Linked DNA regions of Drosophila melanogaster. The protein of the gene in region 1 interacts with the protein of each later gene in a pairwise test. Each region holds a gene or a part of one and is shown on either strand. Other genes may lie near its edges. The genes, in order: P5cr-2, CG1635 and CG7379.

Region 1 (3,458 bases):
AATAATTTGCAAATCAATTATACTCGTATCTGGTCGCATAAATACCAATACGTACCGTCCTTCTCCAGAATTTCGAAGCTGTCGAAGATTCTTGTTCGGTGTGTTTATCATGCGATGGATTTCAGTCTCGCCAGCTCGGTTGTTTATTGTTTGCTTTTCTAGTACTGGCAGCCAACCTCGGTAACAAGTGCGTTTTCTAATTGTTGTTGCTGCTGTTACTGCGTTTTTGTTGATTTTTTTTTAAATTGCAATGAAATTGAGTGAGAAAACAACGCACATATACAGGCGCACACGACCGACACCCGCACACACACACTCACACACGTGTAGGGGACAACTAGGGCTTGACTTTGGTAAATTTTGGTAGTATCACGAGCTTACTCCGCTACAGTGGATGCCCCTAATTCGTATTAATCACTTGTGGGGTTATATATCCGGGTTTGGAGCTGGCAATATCTTAATTTAATCTTTTATTTTGGCATGAAGAGTTTAGTGGTACCGTGTGCGGAAGTAAGTTTCATCTCCAGTTTAGTGTTACCAGAGTCTATGTTGGCTTCCTCACCACGTGGTGAAGGAGGGAAACTTTGCTGCATACGGTGAGAAAATTGGATGGAGTGGTGTATGTATCCGCTAATTAACTGACTCTCAAATCTGTGCAATTCTTTGAAAACAGTAAATATAGATCTTTTAGTTTTAGCCGATTTGCTGGACTATCAAATACCCGTTACTTAATGCGAGATATGATAAAAAGAAGAAAGAACTCTTTTCGAAAATTGCTTACTAGGCGGTATCTACTTTCCAACGTATCTAGTATACCCGGGTATGTCCCAAAATCCCTATGGCAATATTTTGTAATATACAAAGTAAATACTTTGGTTTTCTAATGTAGCCCTTTACAAATAAGCATGTGTATATCGCCTCTACTGTTATCACGCTCACATTGATAACGATTGTTATCTCTTAAAGTGCGGAATGTTTTTGAAACTTGGTAAGTAAGGATTGCCAAAGAGTACAGCTATATAGAAATTTATAGAAATGGAATCCAAAACACGAAAGTGGATCAACGCACGATTACAGGGATTACAGGGCATCGGCATCTCGCATTAATTTGGACTTCGTCACGCCGATTAATGGGTGAATGAGTTGCGGATGACAGTTGTTCTAAATGATAAGGAAATACAACGGCGGGCAAAATATTAGCAATCGCGGCACTTGAACTGTATTTTAAACTACATATTATATATAATCAATATTATCAATCAATATTATAATTGATTGTTATATAAGCTGAAATCATAATAACTTCACTTTAAATAATGGGTTGTAATTTATGATCTATTAAAAATTTGTCTCTATCTTAAGTGGATTTTAATGACTATTTTTATTCAAATATAATTCGATTGTAAAACAGCACTATTAATAGTTTAATGTTTTCTTTATTTACAATGTGTGAAAAGTTCTTAGTATTTATTATTATTTTGCCCCGCTGTCGATTGCCGAACCCACACATAGGAACCTCAATGATAAGCTCAGATCGCTGGGTGTGTTGTTCCCTCAACGCAGGGGATTGGGAGGGGGTTGGCCGGGCAAGATTTCTTATCAATCCTCGCGTCTGTTTTTGGTCAACGCCGGCGGCGGGCGCACAGTTGCCGTTCCACCAGCAGAAAGTTCAGTACTCACAGTCCGCGGACTTTTTAACCCATTAACTAATGTCGGCAATCGGAAAGATCGGATTCCTGGGAGGCGGGAATATGGCCAAGGCTTTGGCTAAGGGTTTCCTAGCGGCCGGTGAGAAAGCCACTAATAAAATAGATTTGTAGTCTGACATACTTTGTGCTAGACAATAGATAAGACACACTTGGATATGCAATATATATATGAACTAACATCATCTTATAATTAGATACAAAAGGATAGGACGTTAAGGATTTCATCATATAATCGCCAAATTTCCTAATTCATTTCCTAGGCCTGGCCAAACCCAATACCCTGATAGCCAGCGTCCATCCGGCAGATAAGCTCTCCCTGCAGTCCTTTCAATCCCTGGGAGTGGAAACAGTGATCAAGAATGCACCCGTTGTGCAGCAATCGGATGTGGTCTTCGTGTCCGTGAAACCCCAAGTGGTTCCCTCGGTTTTGTCGGAGATTCAGCCATTGAGCTCGGGCAAACTATTCCTTTCCGTGGCCATGGGCATCACTTTGTCCACCATCGAGTCCAGTTTATCTCCACAAGCTCGCGTCATCCGTGTGATGCCCAATCTGCCGGCTGTCGTGTGTTCCGGTTGTTCGGTTTTCGTTCGCGGATCCAAGGCCACAGATGCAGATGCGGATATTACCCAGAAGCTGCTGCAGTCCGTGGGCACTTGTGAGCCGGTGGATGAGTCCCAGTTGGATGTGGTTACTGCTCTGAGCGGAAGTGGACCGGCCTATGTATTCGTGATGATTGAGGCCTTGGCGGATGGAGCCGTTCACATGGGCATGCCCAGGGATCTGGCCTATCGTTTGGCATCGCAAACAGTCCTGGGCGCAGGTCACATGGTGCGGGACAGTGGTATGCATCCCGGACAACTCAAGGATGGGGTCACAAGTCCGGCGGGATCGACAGCAGCGGCACTCAGACAACTCGAGCTGTCAGGTAAGTTGGGATGATGACGCCGATGACGCACTCGCTTATCGCCGCCACTTCAACCTTTGATGTCGATTGCAGGTTTTCGGGCTGCGGTGTCTGGAGCGGTGGAACAGGCGACTCTGCGATGCCGGCAAATCTCGGGAAAGACGAAGTAGGCACATAGGATTATCATATACATATACGTACATTGGGGTGGGTCAATTTTGTTATTAAAGTTATAGTAGTTAAAGGAAGTCGTTAAATTTTGTTGCTTCTTGAAGAAACATGTTTTTAATTTGGAAATGTATGTTGGTGCTATAGTGCTTTCAAAGAGCAATGATGAGATGTTTCATTTTAATCGACCCACCCTTGTGCTTAATCTGGGTTAGTAGCTTTGCATAACTATAAAAACTGTGAAGGCCGATTTCGTGATACTAAAATATAAGCAACACTGCTATATTCTTTACTCTCAGCTTTGTTTATAGTCTAGCTAAAAATAACTAATTCAAAGTCGAGCCTAGAACTTCTTCTTCTTTTTGGCCCGGGACAGCTCATTGAGCTCGCCCTGTTGCACGGATGCCTCCTGGTAAATGCGCTTAACCTTCTCGTGGCGCTCCTTGTCACTGTGGATATGAAATACAATAGATTAGAAAGGAACGGTTAAATTGTAAATGGAACACAAACCTTTGCAGGGTCTGTTTGAGCCTAAGCATCTGAACGAAGGACGTATCTCTGCGTATTTCTCGAATGGCACCCTTCTTCTCGCGCTTGATCTTGTGCAGCAGTTTGGCCCGCTCTTCCTTGGCCTTGGACATCTTGGGACGACGTTTGTCATCGTAAACCGCCTCGA
Region 2 (4,305 bases), about 14 Mb from region 1:
TGCATAGATCGCGCAGGTAAGTCCTCAAACTTGGGTTGGTACTTGAGTAGATCCTCCCTGGACTTCGGCTCCGTGGTGAACCCAGGCTCCAGGCCGAAGCTTTTCAGCATCTTCTTCTTGACTAAAAGGGATATCTGGACAAGTAGCACCTATTTCTGGAATGGAAGTACTTACTCTCCGTCATAGTGGCGTATTGACCGTCCGCAGAGGAGTTACGCCCATTAGAGCTAGAAGAAATGTGGCCTATAAAATCTGATTTCTGCTAGTTGTGTTGGTGCTTCACCTGGAATTTTTATGTGTCATCTTCCTGAGGGTCCTGGCCTTTAACAAGCTCCGGCAGCTGCGGGCTCCGAGCAAAAAAGGTACAACACATAATTTAACATTTCTAAGACCAGGCCCCATGGAAACGGATCGGGATCGAGATCTGAACTCAGATCCGACACGAAATTAAAACTATAAATTTTGCTTCAGCTCTGCTTTTTTGATTACAGGTAATGGGTATCCAAAAAATGTAAAGTCGGCAAAAATTAGGGATTATTTTGACAGTTATTATATTAATAAACATTTAATCTAGTACTCTTCGATAGGGTTTAATAGAAGATTTTAAAAGTTTTAAGCTGGTTGGTTAAGCACATCATTAAACAACAGACATTTATTGCTTTTTGTAAACACTGAACTGGTAATTGCATTTATCTGGTAGGATAGCCTTGCATAATATCTTGAGTAACAATCACAGGCTGAACCATGTCTACACTGGGCCCATGCTGGCCTCGAACTTTCGACGACCTTGGATGTACCACATGGTTTCGTGGTAGGAGCGGGGCAGCACCTCGGTAACCGTGTCCGGAGACGAGAAGGTGTAGTAGAACGTGTTGGTGGTCACCTGGCTGCCCGTTTGTGGGTCCATCACATCTGCAACGGTCATGATCTGCACGTAGTTCTCCTTGGTGTACACCACATAGGCGGTCATCTTGATGAAGCTGTTCACGCTGACGGGCTTCTCGAAGCTGATGTCGGATATGTGCTCCAGCTTGGGTCGCGTTTTGCAGTAGAGGTAGGCTGCTGCCCAGCTTATCTCCAGGGCACTTCGCATGAGGAAGCCTCCGAAGACCCGGTTGTGGTGGTTCCTGTGCTCCGGAAATGAGGGAATAGTGCTCATCTGGAAAGAGTCCTCCATCCAGCGACAGTTTGGTGGCAGGATGCGCTTGTTGAGTTCCAAAGTGTTGGTGGGAGTTGTCCTTTTGTACAGCTCGTACATAATTGTCTGCTCCGGGTCATTGGGTTCCACCTTAAAGATGGACTGAGCACAGAGAATCTGACGTTTCTTCTTTCTATCTGCGCCGCCAGCCAGAATCACTTTCTCTTCCTCGTTGGCCGGCTGTAAGGGGTTCACAGGAGCCGCTCCGGTATTGTTAGCGTTTCTTGCTGCCATCAGGAACAAGGCACGGGTTAACTTTTGGTACCTCCCGCCAACCATCTGTTCCAGCCACACTACCACCTCAATTGAACTGGTTCCCACCCAGGAAACGTGCCCAGACAAACGGATATCTTGGGTGCCTGAAGCCAAGACATTGGTGAAATCGATGCGGTCCACCAGAATGGTCACAAAGGTGTACGGCAGATGAACTCCCTCCGGCAGATTGGGCAGAACCAGGTGTTTATGACAGCACCAAGCTGGAAATAGCGGATAGTGAGAAAGTGCGCCAAGATTCCAGCAAATGTGTTCCTCATACCAGCAAACAAGTCCATGTCCTCCAGAAGTCGCCCGAATCGCACATTGCCCAGATAGGTCACATATTTGTCCTGCAAACTGCGGTCCGTGCTCAGAGGAATGATGGCCGAGGTGAAGGAATCCTGCATAGCTCTTGGAGGCAGATCCTCCAGCTTCGGCTGGTACTTGAGCAGCTGCTCCCTGGATTTGGGCAGCGGGTTGTAACCGGGCTCCAGCCCCAATCGCTTCATCATCCCCTGCTTGACTGCAGACGTTCGGGGATTACGATGGGTTTGACTCTGGCAAGACAACACTTACCCTCCGCCATGGTTCCGGATTCATTGGCGACCGCTGATTGCTTGATATGCGTGGGCGGTGAGTAGTGACGCCTGTTAGAGATGAAAGTACTCATTTACCATGTAAGCTCATCATTTATTTTTTGCTCTTACTTGAACAATGCGAAGGATGCTGGCACCTGTTTGGTGGGTAATTCCATAAAGTTCCTGGTGCGGATCAGGCCCCAGCACTTTTGTGCTCCTATCAAAGAACGCATCATCTCGGTTTAACTTAGTTTCGCAGCTTTCTCCTTGCTTTTCAAGTTACATACAAAGTGTAACCTGTCTTTGATCTAACCCCAAATAGAAAACAGCTGGCGGCCACAGCTGACTGGTACAGTGGGCTCGAGAAAATTCGTCTCCAACTAATTTCGAAAAGTTCGATTCTTTAGTATATTAATTTTTTCCCATTTACTTTAATTAAATTGATTTGAGACTGACTGTTCTTTACACAACAAAGTCTTCATTTAAAAAAAATCCTAATATATCTCATTATTTTCAGTATTCCATCAACTTGAGCCCACTGTTTACAGAAGTGATACATACGTATGACGTCATCCCGATTGTTGTTAATTTTAAACTGGGAAGCGAAGTTCCCTAGACAATTTCTCAAATTAACACATTGTTTTGTGATGCATAAATTATGAAATTAAGAGATTGTACTGTTTGAATATTGACTAATTGCTACTGTATATAAAATAACATATTAAAATTAAAATAGAAAATAGTCATCGTTTGTATAAACTATATTTGCAGGTATAAAACCTTGATATTTACAAAAGTATCTTGACCCGAACGCACTTAACGCAGATATTCGACCAATAAAACAAAAAATTATGGGAATAGTAAAATCCAAATCTCTACGCTTACAGATTTAGTTCCTTGAGCGCAAAGTTCAGCACCACCGGCAAAATACCAGCATCTTCCAGATCCAAGATCTGTTGCCGAAGGTTCTCCACCGGATGGGAATGTATCATCTGCAAGAAGAGTTAGAGTGACAATAGAGCATTTCGTTAAAGTGCGCGGTTCGAGCATACCTTTTTGATCTTTTGGCGTTGCTCGCTGCTCTGGCAGAAGCTGAGTAGAGAGGCGGCCATGTGCGGTCGATGGACGACGATGCAGAGCTGGGCGAACTGTAGCAGGTTGAGGGCGTGCACCACCGGACAGCCCTGCAGGCGCAGCAGCGTCTTGTGGAGCACCTCTTCCTGCTTAAAGGATCGTAGCTCGACTGCGTTCTGCAGAGGATGGCAGAGCACATAGTCCCAGGCCTGGGCCAGTCCATCCAGGTGAAGTAGATGCGGCCGGCAGCTGAGTACATCCAACAAGGCGTTCAGCTCGCGCACCATATGGAACATGACCATGCGCTTCAGAATGCCGTTCCAGATCTGCGGCAAGTGTATATCAAAGCCCAGGCAAATGTTGGCCATGACTTCCAGCGAAAGGGGATTCTGCGCATTACGCTGCCAGATCATCTTCAGAATGTCAATCTTGTTGCAATGGTCGTCGGAGAACTTCTCCAGGTTCGACTTGTAGCCCAGAGCCTTGAGCTCGTGCACACACTTGATGCTGATGAACTGGCGTTGGCTAATCGTGTTGGTAAAGGAGTTGCTGCCATCGTTTAGCTTGGAATAGCACTCGTACATTTGCAGCTGTGTGGAGGTGTTTACCGAACTGGTGGAAGGGTTTATTCAATGAATTATTTTCGCTAACTTTTAAGTACCAATCCTTACCCGCCCTTGAAGATCAGACCCACAAGGAACTTGACTGCCTCCGCCTTTGGCCAACTGGAAAGTATGTAAAACGCTCTATTTACGTTCTCGCTGGCGTCCTGGCTGTTGGAGGACTCTGCGCCGTTGGCCTGCTCCGGCCAGTTCTGCTCCTCCATGAAGGTCTCCTCCAAAATGGTACCATCACCCGCAGACTCCATAGTCAGAGCGAGCCACTTCTGTAGCAGGCGGTACTGGATGGTGGCTAAGCAGAGGTCGTGCAGCTTGGCTATCTCTGCGACCAGAGCGTTAATATCCACTTTGCTGGACTTGAGGATCAGCTCATGGTGGTAGAGCGCCTGAATAAGCTCGGTGGGGTTCTCAACTTGGCGCAGTAGCTTCTCATCGGTCAGGCCATAGACATACAGCAGGTGCTGGGTCTTCTGAATAGGATACCGTCGCTTCACCTTGGCAACCTGCTCGCGACTCTTTGGATCTGTAATCAGGTGGCCCTTCTCCTTGACAAACTTCCAGCACTCGTAGGAGGCCTCCA
Region 3 (4,353 bases), 260 kb from region 1:
TACGAAAGTGTAAGACTAAGGAAGAGATTGGTAAGGTAGATCACGGAGCCAAGGTCTATAAGGTTGTGCTCGGTGAGTACAATAGCCTAAAGGAAACTGCACCAAAGTATTCGCTTTCACTACCAAAGAAACCTCAACTAAGGGTGAGTCCAGAGGAGAAAAACCGAAGGCGCCGCGAAAGGATACAAGCGAAGCCATTGAACTATGTCTGCGACAAGTGCGGCCACACCTTTCGCCAACGCAGTCAGCTGCAGATGCACTTGCTCCGTCACAATAGGGCCAAGAATTTCGAGTGCCCCGAATGCCCGAAGAAATTCTACGATCTCTATACGCGCAACATTCACGTAAGAGCGCTGCACAAGGGCGAGCATCCCTTTCCCTGCAACCATTGCAATGAGTCCTTCGCAAACGCAAGCAGTCGTCACAGGCACGAGAGGTGAGTGCACCTACTATTTGATGGTTCCATCATCTAATCACTTCGATTGACTCCAGGGATGTTCACGGAGCAGGCAATCGGATTCGAACGCGGGTGAAATCAAAGGAAGAGGGATCCAGTCGCCATTACTGCACCCAGTGCACCAAAAGTTATACCAGCAAGAAAGGTCTAGTCCTGCACATGAACTTCCACAACGGAAGCAGACCCTTCCAGTGCAAGATTTGCCAGATGAAATTCGCTGACCCATCTGCCATGAAACGACATCAAGCTTTGCACGACAAGTTTCCCATTCGCTGTGACATCTGCCTAAAGGGATTCCTGCTGCGCTCCCAACTAACAAAGCATCAGGATGTACACACAGGAATGCATCCTCATCGGTGGGTGCAAAAGAGAATCCCGACTACTGTCCGTTTACTTATTTCTTTACTTGATTTATATTGCCAGGTGCGAGATCTGCGATGTTCACTACCGCCATAGATATAATCTAAACAAACACAAAAACACCGATTTGCATCGGGATAATATGCAGAAAGCTATAAAAGAAGAAGTTAATGGACTGCAACAAGCATTTAAAGATATTGATAAGGAAATGGACTTTGAATCTCAAACACCAATGCAGCCAAATGCACAGGAAGTGCGAGCCAGAACTCAGGATGAAAAGACTCAAACTATTGAATATATATAATTTTTATAAAAATTTATATACTTTCATGGCGAAGTACGTAATACTTCTAAGGTGACGTTTAGTAAGTGCCGACATAGAAGATAATGCACGAACAATATTTTAAAAATATATAATTCGTATAATAGTATTATGCATTTAATAACGTTAAGCTTAATGAAGAATAGACTTGACAACCTAAATACAAATCTGAATAGTTCAGACGTATGTTTCATGAAAGGAACAATAAATATTTATATTATTAATATTAAATAATAATCAATTAAAAAATAATATAAGTGCATTTGTTTTTCCTAATTAAAAAATCAGCTGATACTGTTATTTGAAATTCTCCAGTTTCCCGGGCAAATGAGTAAGGGGTTGGTTTTGAACGTTTCCTACACTGGCCGTTGAATGAATGATACATGATTTTAAAATTACGATAATTGTAATAAAATGAATACAAAAAAAGGACTGAAAGTAATAATTAAATTTGTATTTAAAGGGAAAATATTTTTAATACTTTCTATTGCCTAGGGAAATGATGAGAAGATATTTGACCACAAACTATTAAAACCAATATTACTTATTTATTAAAAAATTCAACCGAAACAGCAGTGCCGTTAACCACCCCGATTTCAGTGTAGCAAAACACCAGCCGACTAGTGTTGCAAAGCACAACCACCCATTGTATACATACATATAAATAATACCTACGCACACATACACGCACACACGAGTACAGTCGCAAGTTGCGACTCGCAACGCCATACAAAAAGTTGGAACTGAGTGGAATCGGAGTACTATATAGCCAGCCGATCCCTTCCAGAGCGCCGGAAGAGTAGCTCACATCCGAACCCACGTCCCCGAGCCGATGTCGCGGCGGGAATAGAGCGATTCGCAGTCCAAACACGATGATAAACCCCATTGCATCCGAGTCGGAGGCCATCAATTCGGCCACCTATGTGGACAACTATATCGATTCGGTGGAAAATCTGCCGGACGACGTGCAGCGCCAGTTGTCACGCATCCGCGACATAGACGTCCAGTACAGAGGTGAGTTCTGGCCGAGATTACGCCTGTTGGAAAAGCGGAAAACCTAACCTCCTCTCTTGGTCCAAACCCGTCGATTTGCAGGCCTCATTCGCGACGTAGACCACTACTACGACCTGTATCTGTCCCTGCAGAACTCCGCGGATGCCGGGCGACGGTCTCGAAGCATCTCCAGGATGCACCAGAGTCTCATTCAGGCGCAGGAACTGGGCGACGAAAAAATGCAGATCGTCAATCATATGCAGGAGATAATCGACGGCAAGCTGCGCCAGCTGGACACCGACCAGCAGAACCTGGACCTGAAGGAGGACCGCGATCGGTATGCGCTCCTGGACGATGGCACGCCTTCGAAGCTGCAACGCCTGCAGAGCCCGATGAGGGAGCAGGGCAACCAAGCGGGCACTGGCAACGGTGGCCTAAATGGAAACGGCCTGCTTTCGGCCAAAGATCTGTACGCCTTGGGCGGCTATGCAGGTGGTGTTGTGCCTGGTTCTAATGCCATGACCTCCGGCAACGGTGGCGGCTCAACGCCCAACTCGGAGCGCTCGAGCCATGTCAGTAATGGTGGCAACAGCGGCTCCAATGGCAATGCCAGCGGCGGAGGAGGCGGAGAACTGCAGCGCACAGGTAGCAAGCGGTCGAGGAGGCGAAACGAGAGTGTTGTTAACAACGGAAGCTCTCTGGAGATGGGCGGCAACGAGTCCAACTCGGCAAATGAAGCCAGTGGCAGTGGTGGTGGCAGTGGCGAGCGCAAATCCTCGTTGGGCGGTGCCAGTGGAGCGGGACAGGGACGAAAGGCCAGTCTGCAGTCGGCTTCTGGCAGTTTGGCTAGCGGCTCTGCAGCCACGAGCAGTGGAGCAGCCGGAGGTGGTGGTGCCAGCGGAGCCGGCGTAGTTGGTGGCAATAATTCCGGCAAGAAGAAAAAGCGCAAGGTACGCGGTTCTGGGGCTTCAAATGCCAATGCCAGTACGCGAGAGGAGACGCCGCCGCCGGAGACCATTGATCCGGACGAGCCGACCTACTGTGTCTGCAATCAGGTGAGTTCGCAGTGCTTTTCCTATCGAAAAGCTTCGCCACTAATCACGTTTTCTATTGCAGATCTCCTTTGGCGAGATGATCCTGTGCGACAATGACCTGTGCCCCATCGAGTGGTTCCATTTTTCGTGCGTCTCCCTGGTACTAAAACCAAAAGGCAAGTGGTTCTGCCCCAACTGCCGCGGAGAACGGCCAAATGTAATGAAACCCAAGGCGCAGTTCCTCAAAGAACTGGAGCGCTACAACAAGGAAAAGGAGGAGAAGACCTAGTCTATTAGGCCAGCCTATCCAACCCATTGCTCTGTGTCTAACACCAGGCTCTGTAAAATATTCGATCCTAAGATTTACCTTAATGTATATTTAGTGACTTTCTTAGACCCGATCCCTTTTCGACTTTCCCCTCTTTCACCCAGTTTAGATCCCTCGCTTCTATGGTTATAGGTCGTCAGTTTTCATTTAAAGTTTCTGTACAAACAATATCTTTCTCAATGTAAACACACAAAAACTCGTATAATTAGAGTACACCTAAACTTAATTTATGGTAATAAACGTTGATATTCAAAACCCACAATAATTTCTTGGCCCCAAGGAGCCCGTATCCAGTAGCAGTAGTTTTACGAATCTATTTGTTTAATTGTCGTTTAGAAGACTAAGGCATTCGAATTACACATAAGTATAATTGATCGTGTATAAATGTGTGTAAAATATATAAATTTATATAAAACTATTTGGTAGGCATCTGTGGAATTGTATGGAATTCTTATTGTAAAAAATGCGCATGGACGGAGTTCTTGTTGCGTGTCAAGTCAAAAAGTATTCTAATAGATTATTCGAGCTTCTGTATGGAGGTTCTTCCATCATGGCATGAGCAGCTCAATGTTCGGATTCTGGATCTCCAGGAATATCTGGTACTGCGAGAAGACCACCAGCCAGCAATAGATCTAAGTGGATGAGTAAAATGGGTTTATAAACATAATGATACAGGAGTTGGTGTTGCTGTCCCTTGAATTTCAAACACTTACATTGTAGGCTACCCAAACGAAGTTCAAAAGGGCCGAGAAGGTTTGCTCCAGCTGGCGGTAGAGTAACACGAATTCATTAGCTTTAGTTAATGGAAAAGATAATCGCTACTCACATAAATATAGTAGCCTCCAATAAGCCAAAGGCT

The links.
Region 2: the proteins of P5cr-2 (region 1) and CG1635 interact in a two-hybrid assay, tested with the Drosophila melanogaster proteins (one large-scale study listed by BioGRID).
Region 3: the proteins of P5cr-2 (region 1) and CG7379 interact in a two-hybrid assay, tested with the Drosophila melanogaster proteins (one large-scale study listed by BioGRID).

The regions. Positions count from the first base shown.
Region 1 is NT_033777.3:17,534,064-17,537,521, forward strand, and holds P5cr-2 (Pyrroline-5-carboxylate reductase-like 2), read left to right. Parts: upstream 1-1,621; 5' UTR 1,622-1,709; coding exon 1,710-1,788; exon of another isoform or gene 1,789-1,969; coding exon 1,970-2,635; exon of another isoform or gene 2,636-2,707; coding exon 2,708-2,784; 3' UTR 2,785-2,860; downstream 2,861-3,458. Other genes in the region: l(3)07882 (lethal (3) 07882), read right to left, coding at 3,126-3,231, 3,293-3,458.
Region 2 is NT_033777.3:31,586,715-31,591,019, reverse strand, and holds CG1635 (uncharacterized protein), read right to left. Parts: upstream 2,348-4,305; 5' UTR 2,268-2,347; coding exon 2,161-2,267; intron 2,101-2,160; coding exon 2,030-2,100; exon of another isoform or gene 1,977-2,029; coding exon 1,734-1,976; exon of another isoform or gene 1,675-1,733; coding exon 749-1,674; 3' UTR 628-748; downstream 1-627. Other genes in the region: CG1638 (uncharacterized protein), read right to left, coding at 1-121, 175-227, 284-402; rod (rough deal), read right to left, coding at 2,913-3,023, 3,084-3,717, 3,777-4,305.
Region 3 is NT_033777.3:17,795,768-17,800,120, reverse strand, and holds CG7379 (uncharacterized protein), read left to right. Parts: upstream 1-1,816; 5' UTR 1,817-2,011; coding exon 2,012-2,153; intron 2,154-2,234; coding exon 2,235-3,187; intron 3,188-3,248; coding exon 3,249-3,455; 3' UTR 3,456-3,745; downstream 3,746-4,353. Other genes in the region: CG17803 (uncharacterized protein), read left to right, coding at 1-436, 493-813, 881-1,121; pasi1 (pasiflora 1), read right to left, coding at 4,043-4,126, 4,208-4,258, 4,321-4,353.